Saccharomyces cerevisiae S288C: one gene and its partners. Changing the gene in region 1 together with any one later gene gives a genetic interaction. Each region holds a gene or a part of one and is shown on either strand. Other genes may lie near its edges.

Region 1 (3,056 bases):
AACCTGGCAGTGTTGAGTATAATGCTAGATTGTGGAGACGTAACAGAAATGAAACTATTATCCAGGAAACACAGGGGGAGAAAAAATTATCGATTTATGGGAATTGGTCCAAAAAATTGATTAGTTTAAATAACAAAAGTCAACCAAAACTGATGAAGTTTGCCCAGTTTGAAGATCAGCTGATTACTGCAGATGATAGAAGTACCATTACAGTTTTTGATTGGGAGAAAGGAAAGACTTTGTCCAAATTCTCCAATGGTACTCCTTTTGGCACAAAAGTTACTGACCTGAAACTCATTAACGAGGATGACTCCGCCCTTTTATTGACAGGTTCTTCAGACGGTGTTATCAAAATATACAGAGACTACCAAGATGTCGACACCTTTAAAATTGTATCCGCCTGGAGAGGCTTGACCGATATGTTATTGACACCTAGATCCACAGGTTTACTAACCGAATGGTTACAAATAAGAGGATCATTGTTAACAACTGGTGATGTTAAGGTTATCCGTGTCTGGGATGCGCATACAGAAACGGTTGAAGTGGACATTCCTGCAAAAACATCATCTTTAATTACATCCTTGACGGCTGATCAGCTAGCAGGTAATATCTTCGTAGCAGGGTTTGCAGATGGCTCCCTGAGAGTATATGATCGCCGTCTCGATCCAAGAGATTCCATGATACGTCGCTGGAGAGCTGGAAATGATAAGCAGGGAGTTTGGATTAACAATGTTCATTTACAAAGAGGTGGTTACAGAGAATTGGTCAGTGGAGCTACCAATGGTGTTGTAGAGTTATGGGATATAAGGTCCGAAGATCCGGTAGAATCGTTTGTTGATCAAAACGTAACTTCTCAGTACGGTTCGCAACAAAAACCAACGACAATGACGTGCATGCAGGTTCATGAGCATGCTCCGATAATTGCGACAGGGACTAAACAAATAAAGATATGGACGACATCTGGAGATCTTTTGAATTCTTTTAAAAACTCACATAATAATGGCGTAACAAGTACATTAGCCGCTACGGGAATCCCAAAGTCACTGTCCTACTCTTCCACTTCTGATGCATTTTTATCTTCGATGGCTTTCCATCCTCATAGAATGATGATTGCGGCCACCAATTCTCACGATTCTATTGTAAATATCTACAAGTGTGAAGACGAGAGAATTGATTATTTTTGATATGTGCCATTTCTTTTTTTTTCTTTCATTTAGCTGCAAAAGAGATATATATATATATATATATATAATCTATTATATAATAAAAGTCGAGTAAAAAATTGGTCTGATTGTGAATTTAACAGCTGGTCGCAAGTTCTGGAATTTGTTGTTAATTATTGTTTCATGTTCGTATAATAATACGATGTTTAGTAAAGCAGAAAGTTCAGAATATTAAAAGTCTGTTCCAATAGTGTAGCGGCTATCACGTTGCCTTCACACGGCAAAGGTCCCGAGTTCGATCCTCGGTTGGAACATTTTAACATCGATTTTTTTGTTTGTCATAGCCAGACCAATTACGACGTTTAGAGGCATGCACTTTGTTAAATATTTTTTCTCTCTCCTTCGACATATTTTTTTTCCTGTTTACGTAACATTCATCCCCAGTCTTTGTATCATTTTTTTTTTTTTTTGGTGATGCGACAGCAATTCTGGCCGACACAGTCGTTTTCAAAGAAAAACTACCACAAACTATGGAACATAATTGAAAACAAAAACATTTACTTATAACCTACATAATGATTGAAGATACTTCATTGATCTTTACCACCTTCCTCGTTGAAATCTTTTCTACCATAGTCAGTATTTTTGGGAATTTTATAAAAACGCAAATTTTATCGAAATGAATCAAGGTTACACACAGCTTTCCGCACCGGAACTGAAGGAGACTAAAACATCGAAGCTAAATAAAATGAACAACTTTCGAAGCTCTCCGATTGCTGAGATAATTAATAAGATACCACCAGATTGCGGGAAGATACAGAATACAACATTTCCTGAGTTCAATCCAGCGTTAAGAAGACGACAACACGAACAGTGGCCTGCATACGAAAAACCAATAAGAGTTACTGACAGTATGTCACCACAGCTTTCTTCAATCAATTGTTTGCCAAATTTGTATCCCCACGGTACGCTACCATTACCAAACCCTTATTTATCCTATTTAAATCACATTGAAAAAGTTAATTGCCAAGATGTCAAGTTTAGTAACTGGAGTGTTTTACATAATTCGAATAATGGATTTGAAATTCCGACATATTTCAGTCCACGGACAACACAAAACATGCCTTGTTCCGAAAAAGTTGAAAGCTGGCTTGAAAGATTACCAATTTTTGTGGGGTTCGACGGTTATTTATTTACAAACTGCTTTGATTATGAATATATGTTGGATTGGGAAGAGACAGAATTTACATTCGAGAAAACATCATGTATGGAGACGGATTATTCTAAAGCTTTAACCGATACTGATATTATATATATTCAAGAGAAAAAAATTGAAGCGTTGATAAGAAACCAATATCTGAAGGAGTATGAATTTTCTCAAAAAGATTTTTGAATTTTGAAGAAAGCCATTAATATTTAAATGTAATTTTGTGTAGAATTATAATAAATTGATGTTTATGTATAGATCTCTCGAAATATATTTAAGAATATATAAATAATAAATGTACAACAATAAGCATAGAACATGGAATGAGTGTTCAAACTATATTCGTTTGTTTTTTAGATAGGAGTTCTCCAGACGTTTTCATCCAAGTTTTGTTTTGCATCATTTAAAGCTGCAGCAAGAACTTTGCTTTCTTCACTTGCAGACTCCGGTTTGACTTGAGTTTTTTTAATGGAAAGATTCCTCAAACTAGCGGCATTGACATTTACATTTCTTTTCGTGCTTCTTAAAATCAAGGAATCATTTGATTCGAGATTCTCCTTCTTTATTTCAGGTTGCGATATCGATGGAACTTCTGCAGTTGAAGAGCTGATATTTTTTGCCTCTTTCTCTTCTTTTTCCTGAGCGAGAAGTTCAACTAATTGATCGGGCTCAAGTTCTTTCGCAGA
Region 2 (3,703 bases), on another chromosome or scaffold:
AGTTTTTCCCACAGTTTGATAATCTGGTAGAAGAGTATTCTATTATCGGTAAGCATAGTGTCAAAATATTCTCTATGTTGGAGAAGTTTGGTCAGTTTCATTGGTTTTACGGCATTTCTATAGGACAATTTCTATCATGTTTCAAACGTGTCTTCATTAAGAAATCTAGGGAAACAAGAGCAGCTAGGACACGGGTAGATGAAATTCTTTGGCTATTATATCAAGAAGTATATTGTCAATTCTCCACCGCTCTTGACAAAAAATTTAAAATGATTATGGCTATGACGATGTTTTGTTTGTATAAATTCGACATTGAAAGTGAACAATATAAAGAGGCAGTTCTAACTATGATTGGAGTTCTCTCTGAAAGTAGCGATGGCGTACCAAAACTAACCGTAGATACAAATAATGATTTGCGGTACTTATGGGACTATGTTACAACCAAATCGTATATATCTGCGTTGAACTGGTTCAAAAATGAGTTTTTTGTTGATGAGTGGAATATCGCGGATGTGGTAGCCAATTCCGAGAACAACTATTTTACAATGGCAAGCGAGCGAGATGTTGATGGCACATTCAAATTAATCGAATTGGCGAAAGCCTCGAAGGAATCGTTAAAAATCATCCCGCTAGGGTCTATAGAAAATCTAAACTATGCTCAAGAGGAAATATCAAAATCTAAGATAGAAGGTGGTTGGATATTATTACAAAACATACAAATGTCGCTATCATGGGTGAAAACGTATCTGCACAAGCATGTTGAGGAGACAAAGGCGGCAGAAGAACATGAGAAATTCAAAATGTTCATGACATGCCATTTGACTGGTGATAAACTACCTGCCCCATTGCTACAAAGAACTGATAGATTTGTGTATGAGGATATCCCAGGTATACTAGATACCGTCAAAGATCTATGGGGTTCTCAATTTTTCACTGGTAAAATTTCAGGAGTATGGAGCGTGTATTGTACCTTCCTATTGTCATGGTTTCATGCCTTGATCACTGCCAGGACCCGATTGGTTCCTCATGGGTTTTCCAAGAAGTATTACTTTAATGATTGCGACTTTCAATTTGCCTCAGTGTATTTAGAGAATGTATTAGCCACCAATTCTACCAACAACATTCCTTGGGCACAAGTGCGAGATCACATAGCTACGATCGTATACGGAGGAAAGATCGATGAAGAGAAAGACCTTGAAGTGGTCGCTAAACTTTGTGCGCACGTATTCTGCGGCTCGGACAATTTGCAGATCGTTCCTGGGGTACGAATCCCACAGCCTCTTCTTCAACAAAGTGAAGAAGAGGAACGGGCAAGGCTTACTGCCATACTGTCTAATACGATTGAGCCTGCAGATTCACTCAGTTCATGGCTTCAATTGCCAAGGGAATCTATTTTGAATTACGAACGTCTTCAGGCTAAAGAGGTGGCTAGCTCAACTGAACAACTTCTTCAAGAAATGTAGCCTTTTCAGGTACGCGTGTCTTGCTTGTCCGCGGTTTTCTCAGTGGACGTGCCTATTCTGGGTTCCTCTTGTTTGATGAGACTCTGATATCTACAATCCAAAAAAATCGGTTGTAGGAAGATGGCGTGCTTCTAATTAAAGTAACGTGGGGACTCTTATTTAGATACTTCCTAACTACGAGCACGTACGTCTAGAATTCATGTTATATAACATAATGATTTTTCCTTATTTTCTTAGTTTTTATCAGCCTTGCCTTGGCTTCCTTCTCAACATCTAGTTGAATTGATAACATGACAAAAAGAAGTTAGGCAGTGGTAGTCTTCAAAAAAATATACAAAATAGCAAGCCTGTAAAAGAATTTAATTATGACCATTATTCAGACGGTTACTGAATTGGGTGTTACCGAGGACACCATTAAGGTTCAGATGGCTCCTTCCGGCGGCAAACACCTATTGGCAGATCCCGGTAATCATCCAGCGGAGCATTTTGAGAGCCAGATGTCGTGGCTAAGGTTTCAAACAAGGCAGTATCTAACTAGATTCACAGACAACCAATCAGATTTCGTACATTCTTTACAAAAAAAGCACAGAACGCCTTTTAGAGACGTTTATTTCAAATACACTTCGCTTATGGGTTCCCACATGTTTTATGTTATCGTGCTTCCCATGCCTGTGTGGCTTGGATACCGCGATTTAACACGGGACATGATCTACGTTCTTGGTTATTCAATTTATTTGAGTGGCTACTTAAAGGATTATTGGTGCCTACCAAGGCCAAAATCACCGCCAGTTGACAGAATCACACTAAGTGAATACACTACGAAAGAATATGGTGCACCCAGTTCACATTCTGCTAACGCTACTGCGGTAAGTCTATTATTCTTTTGGAGAATATGTTTATCTGACACACTGGTATGGCCAACAAAGCTTCTTTTACTGAGTCTGGTGATATTTTACTACTTAACCCTGGTTTTTGGTAGAGTTTACTGCGGTATGCATGGTATGCTGGATTTATTTAGCGGCGCCGCAGTTGGAGCTATCTGTTTTTTTATAAGAATCTGGGTGGTGCATGCTTTACGAAATTTCCAGATTGGTGAACATCTCTGGTTTCCCCTTTTGAGTGTAGCATGGGGCTTGTTTATTCTGTTTAACCACGTCAGGCCCATTGATGAATGTCCTTGTTTCGAAGATAGCGTAGCGTTCATTGGCGTAGTCAGTGGGCTGGATTGCAGCGACTGGTTAACCGAAAGATACGGATGGAACCTTGTATGTAGTAGGTACGCATCATGTGGTTCTAAGGTGTTCTTGAGGCCTCTGGTAGGTGTCGCTTCTGTGATTGTTTGGAAAGACGTCATTAGCAAGACAGCTGTCTACACGCTGTTAATTAAACTACTCAGATTTCACGATGATAGAAGCGAAAAGGTTCATTTCCATAACGAGACAAGTGAAGAAGAAGAGTGTTTATTGTACAGCGGTGTTTCCAAAGTGGAAATCGTCGGAAGGTTTCTCATATACGCAGGTATACCTACAACCGTCTTTTTGCTATGCCCAGTTTTTTTCACTTGGACAAACTTAAGGTAGACTCTCGTATGTATGCATTTAGTGACTTATACATATATATTGTATCTACATAACACATCATTGAAATTCACCCCGATGAGTACATATTTGGAATTCAGCATTTTTTTTTTCTCGCTTTTGATAGCCAGCCCATCTATGGTGCTTACTAATGTATAGAGAGGATATAACAATGAAAAATCAAGATTTCAGGCATGAGTCAAGACTTTAGCTCTTTTATATACCTTCAGGATGTTCGTACCATGCGTCGCAGGCCCTAGATCGGCGTTTTGGGTTTTACACATGCATGTTTGCCGTGGTTCACCCTCTTTTAACCCACAGGAATCGCTACTTTGACACCCCCGATCGTGTCTCTTTTCGGTATTTTGGCACCCTTTCTTGAATGAGAGCATGGCGAAGACTGAAAGGCAAGAACACCCTGCTATCTTTTGCCTACCATTGGCGAACGTCATCTTATCTAAGTAGTAAGCTGTATATAAAGATATTTGGAGGTTTTATTGGAATCTCATAGAATTTTCACTTTATCAGAGGTTTATTGACGAAGACTTTCGTGAGAAGTACAAAGTGAAGAAGTAAAAAACTCAACCGAAATATCAGTTAATATTATGAATACTTCAGAACTGTCAATAGCTGAGGAAATCGACTACGAAGCTCTTCCATCAC
Region 3 (3,760 bases), on another chromosome or scaffold:
CAAACAGCGTCTTGTCTTCGTACTCTTTAGTGAAGCTAAAGATCTGGTCACTGTCTAAATCAATGAATTGGAAATCGTAACCATAAATCATAAGTTCCTTATATTTCTTTCTGGCTTGCAAGGCCCTTTTCCAAAAATTGAGAACTGAGTCATCATCTCTGGATTCCTGCTCAACATTGATTCCTTGCTCGAAAGATTCATTCAAGAGAAACCAAGGTTTAACATCTGGGCCAGTAAATCCAGCATTGGGCTTATCTTTCGTCCATGGCATGGGAGTTCTCGAATGATCTCTAGAAAGTAGGGCGATTCCTTTAAAAAAATCCTTCATTTCCTTCGAGTTTTTACCAAAACTTTTTTTGATAATCTCGTAGTTGTTTTTCACATCAACGTCCTCATACTTTTCAATAGGCCATTCCTTGAAATTGATCTGGCCTATCTCCTGACCTTGATAGACATACAACGTACCTGTCAATGAACATTCTAGCAATGTTAACAGCTTACCAGATATTTTACGGTACTTTGGCGAATCGTCAGCAAATCTCGTAATTGACCGGGCTTGATCGTGATTCTCGATGTAGGTGGTAGCCCAACTATCAGTACCGTTAATGAACAAAAAGTTCGATGCAATGGCTTCTTTCCATTGTTTCAAGGTGAAGGGCACTATGTTATAACGGAAAAATGGCGAGGTACCAACTTCAACGTGCGTGAAGGAGAAAACTTCGCTGACTTCGTATCTAGCTGCACTGGTGTATAAAGCATTATCACTTCCATGGGCAACTTCACCGACTGTCATTATTTCTCTACCATCTTTCACCCTGTTTTTCATAAATCTGTGTAGTTCTTGATGATATTCATGAATCCTAGGACCATTGTGAGACCCCCAATTTGGATGTTGTAATTTCGAGGTTTTGTCAAAAATTGGGGAATCTGGTAAACCAGGACGTTTCGAATACAAACCAGCGGTATCGATTCTAAAACCATCTACACCATGGTCCAGCCAAAATCCAACAGCACTTTCAAAGATTGCCCTTCTGCAGTCTTCATTCTCCCAATTCAAGTCAACTTGACGACTCGCAAACAAACGGAGGTAAAATTCATTTGTAGTTTCATCAAAAGTCCAAGCTGAACCACCAAAGAAAGATTTCCAATTGTTTGGAGGAATTGGCTTGCCTTCGGCGTCATAACCCTTAGGAGGTCTCCAGAAGAACCAGTCACGCTTCGGATTGGTCTTCGAGGATCTGCTCTCTTTGAACCATTCGTGTTCTGTAGAACAGTGGTTGATAACCAAATCGGTGATGAATTTCATACCCAGCTTATGAGTCTTGTCAATTAGCTCAAAACAGTCCTCATTGGTACCATATGTGGGCCAGACCTTTTCGTAGTTGGATATATCATACCCCATATCTTGTTGAGGAGAGTCATAAAACGGACAAACCCAAATAGCATCAACGCCAAGATCTTTAATATACTGCAACTTGGAAGTGATACCTTTTAAATCACCCCAGCCATCGTTATTGGAGTCTTTAAAACTTGCTGGGTAAATTTGATAGATTGTGGCCTCTTTCCACCACTTTGGTTCTGTTTCTGGATGATCAGAAATAGTCATTTATGTAATTTAGTTACGCTTGACTGATGTACATTTGAGATTATCAAAAAAACTGCTTAAGAGATGGATGATTTAATTTTTTAGAGACGTATTAATGGAACTTTTTATACCTTGCCCAGAGCGCCTCAAGAAAATGATGCTGCAAGAAGAATTGAGGAAGGAACTATTCATCTTACGTTGTTTGTATCATCCCACGATCCAAATCATGTTACCTACGTTAGGTACGCTAGGAACTAAAAAAAGAAAAGAAAAGTATGCGTTATCACTCTTCGAGCCAATTCTTAATTGTGTGGGGTCCGCGAAAATTTCCGGATAAATCCTGTAAACTTTAACTTAAACCCCGTGTTTAGCGAAATTTTCAACGAAGCGCGCAATAAGGAGAAATATTATCTAAAAGCGAGAGTTTAAGCGAGTTGCAAGAATCTCTACGGTACAGATGCAACTTACTATAGCCAAGGTCTATTCGTATTACTATGGCAGCGAAAGGAGCTTTAAGGTTTTAATTACCCCATAGCCATAGATTCTACTCGGTCTATCTATCATGTAACACTCCGTTGATGCGTACTAGAAAATGACAACGTACCGGGCTTGAGGGACATACAGAGACAATTACAGTAATCAAGAGTGTACCCAACTTTAACGAACTCAGTAAAAAATAAGGAATGTCGACATCTTAATTTTTTATATAAAGCGGTTTGGTATTGATTGTTTGAAGAATTTTCGGGTTGGTGTTTCTTTCTGATGCTACATAGAAGAACATCAAACAACTAAAAAAATAGTATAATATGAAAAATATCATTTCATTGGTAAGCAAGAAGAAGGCTGCCTCAAAAAATGAGGATAAAAACATTTCTGAGTCTTCAAGAGATATTGTAAACCAACAGGAGGTTTTCAATACTGAAGATTTTGAAGAAGGGAAAAAGGATAGTGCCTTTGAGCTAGACCACTTAGAGTTCACCACCAATTCAGCCCAGTTAGGAGATTCTGACGAAGATAACGAGAATGTGATTAATGAGATGAACGCTACTGATGATGCAAATGAAGCTAACAGCGAGGAAAAAAGCATGACTTTGAAGCAGGCGTTGCTAAAATATCCAAAAGCAGCCCTGTGGTCCATATTAGTGTCTACTACCCTGGTTATGGAAGGTTATGATACCGCACTACTGAGCGCACTGTATGCCCTGCCAGTTTTTCAGAGAAAATTCGGTACTTTGAACGGGGAGGGTTCTTACGAAATTACTTCCCAATGGCAGATTGGTTTAAACATGTGTGTCCTTTGTGGTGAGATGATTGGTTTGCAAATCACGACTTATATGGTTGAATTTATGGGGAATCGTTATACGATGATTACAGCACTTGGTTTGTTAACTGCTTATATCTTTATCCTCTACTACTGTAAAAGTTTAGCTATGATTGCTGTGGGACAAATTCTCTCAGCTATACCATGGGGTTGTTTCCAAAGTTTGGCTGTTACTTATGCTTCGGAAGTTTGCCCTTTAGCATTAAGATATTACATGACCAGTTACTCCAACATTTGTTGGTTATTTGGTCAAATCTTCGCCTCTGGTATTATGAAAAACTCACAAGAGAATTTAGGGAACTCCGACTTGGGCTATAAATTGCCATTTGCTTTACAATGGATTTGGCCTGCTCCTTTAATGATCGGTATCTTTTTCGCTCCTGAGTCGCCCTGGTGGTTGGTGAGAAAGGATAGGGTCGCTGAGGCAAGAAAATCTTTAAGCAGAATTTTGAGTGGTAAAGGCGCCGAGAAGGACATTCAAGTTGATCTTACTTTAAAGCAGATTGAATTGACTATTGAAAAAGAAAGACTTTTAGCATCTAAATCAGGATCATTCTTTAATTGTTTCAAGGGAGTTAATGGAAGAAGAACGAGACTTGCATGTTTAACTTGGGTAGCTCAAAATAGTAGCGGTGCCGTTTTACTTGGTTACTCGACATATTTTTTTGAAAGAGCAGGTATGGCCACCGACAAGGCGTTTACTTTTTCTCTAATTCAGTACTGTCTTGGGTTAGCGGGTACACTTTGCTCCTGGGTAATATCTGGCCGTGTTGGTAGATGGACAATACTGACCTATGGTCTTGCATTTCAAATGGTCTGCTTATTTATTATTGGTGGAATGGGTTTTGGTTCTG

The links.
Region 2: mutations in PFS1 (region 1) and YSR3 together harm fitness more than expected from each alone (negative genetic interaction), as found in Saccharomyces cerevisiae (2 studies listed by BioGRID).
Region 3: mutations in PFS1 (region 1) and MAL12 together harm fitness more than expected from each alone (negative genetic interaction), as found in Saccharomyces cerevisiae (2 studies listed by BioGRID).

The regions. Positions count from the first base shown.
Region 1 is NC_001140.6:474,127-477,182, reverse strand, and holds PFS1 (Pfs1p), read left to right. Parts: upstream 1-1,842; coding exon 1,843-2,556; downstream 2,557-3,056. Other genes in the region: ubiquitin-binding TORC1 subunit KOG1, read left to right, coding at 1-1,184; SSP1 (Ssp1p), read right to left, coding at 2,724-3,056. UniProt on the Saccharomyces cerevisiae protein: Involved in the pathway that organizes the shaping and sizing of the prospore membrane (PSM) during sporulation. Required to localize MPC54 to all four spindle pole bodies, and localize DON1 and SPO14 to four prospore membranes.
Region 2 is NC_001143.9:533,407-537,109, reverse strand, and holds YSR3 (sphinganine kinase YSR3), read left to right. Parts: upstream 1-1,828; coding exon 1,829-3,043; downstream 3,044-3,703. Other genes in the region: DYN1 (dynein heavy chain), read left to right, coding at 1-1,463; MRS4 (Fe(2+) transporter), read left to right, coding at 3,646-3,703. UniProt on the Saccharomyces cerevisiae protein: Dihydrosphingosine 1-phosphate phosphatase required for efficient ceramide synthesis from exogenous sphingoid bases. Involved in endocytosis and calcium-mediated signaling.
Region 3 is NC_001139.9:1,074,445-1,078,204, reverse strand, and holds the start of MAL12 (alpha-glucosidase MAL12), read right to left. Parts: upstream 1,607-3,760; coding exon 1-1,606. Other genes in the region: MAL11 (alpha-glucoside permease), read left to right, coding at 2,392-3,760.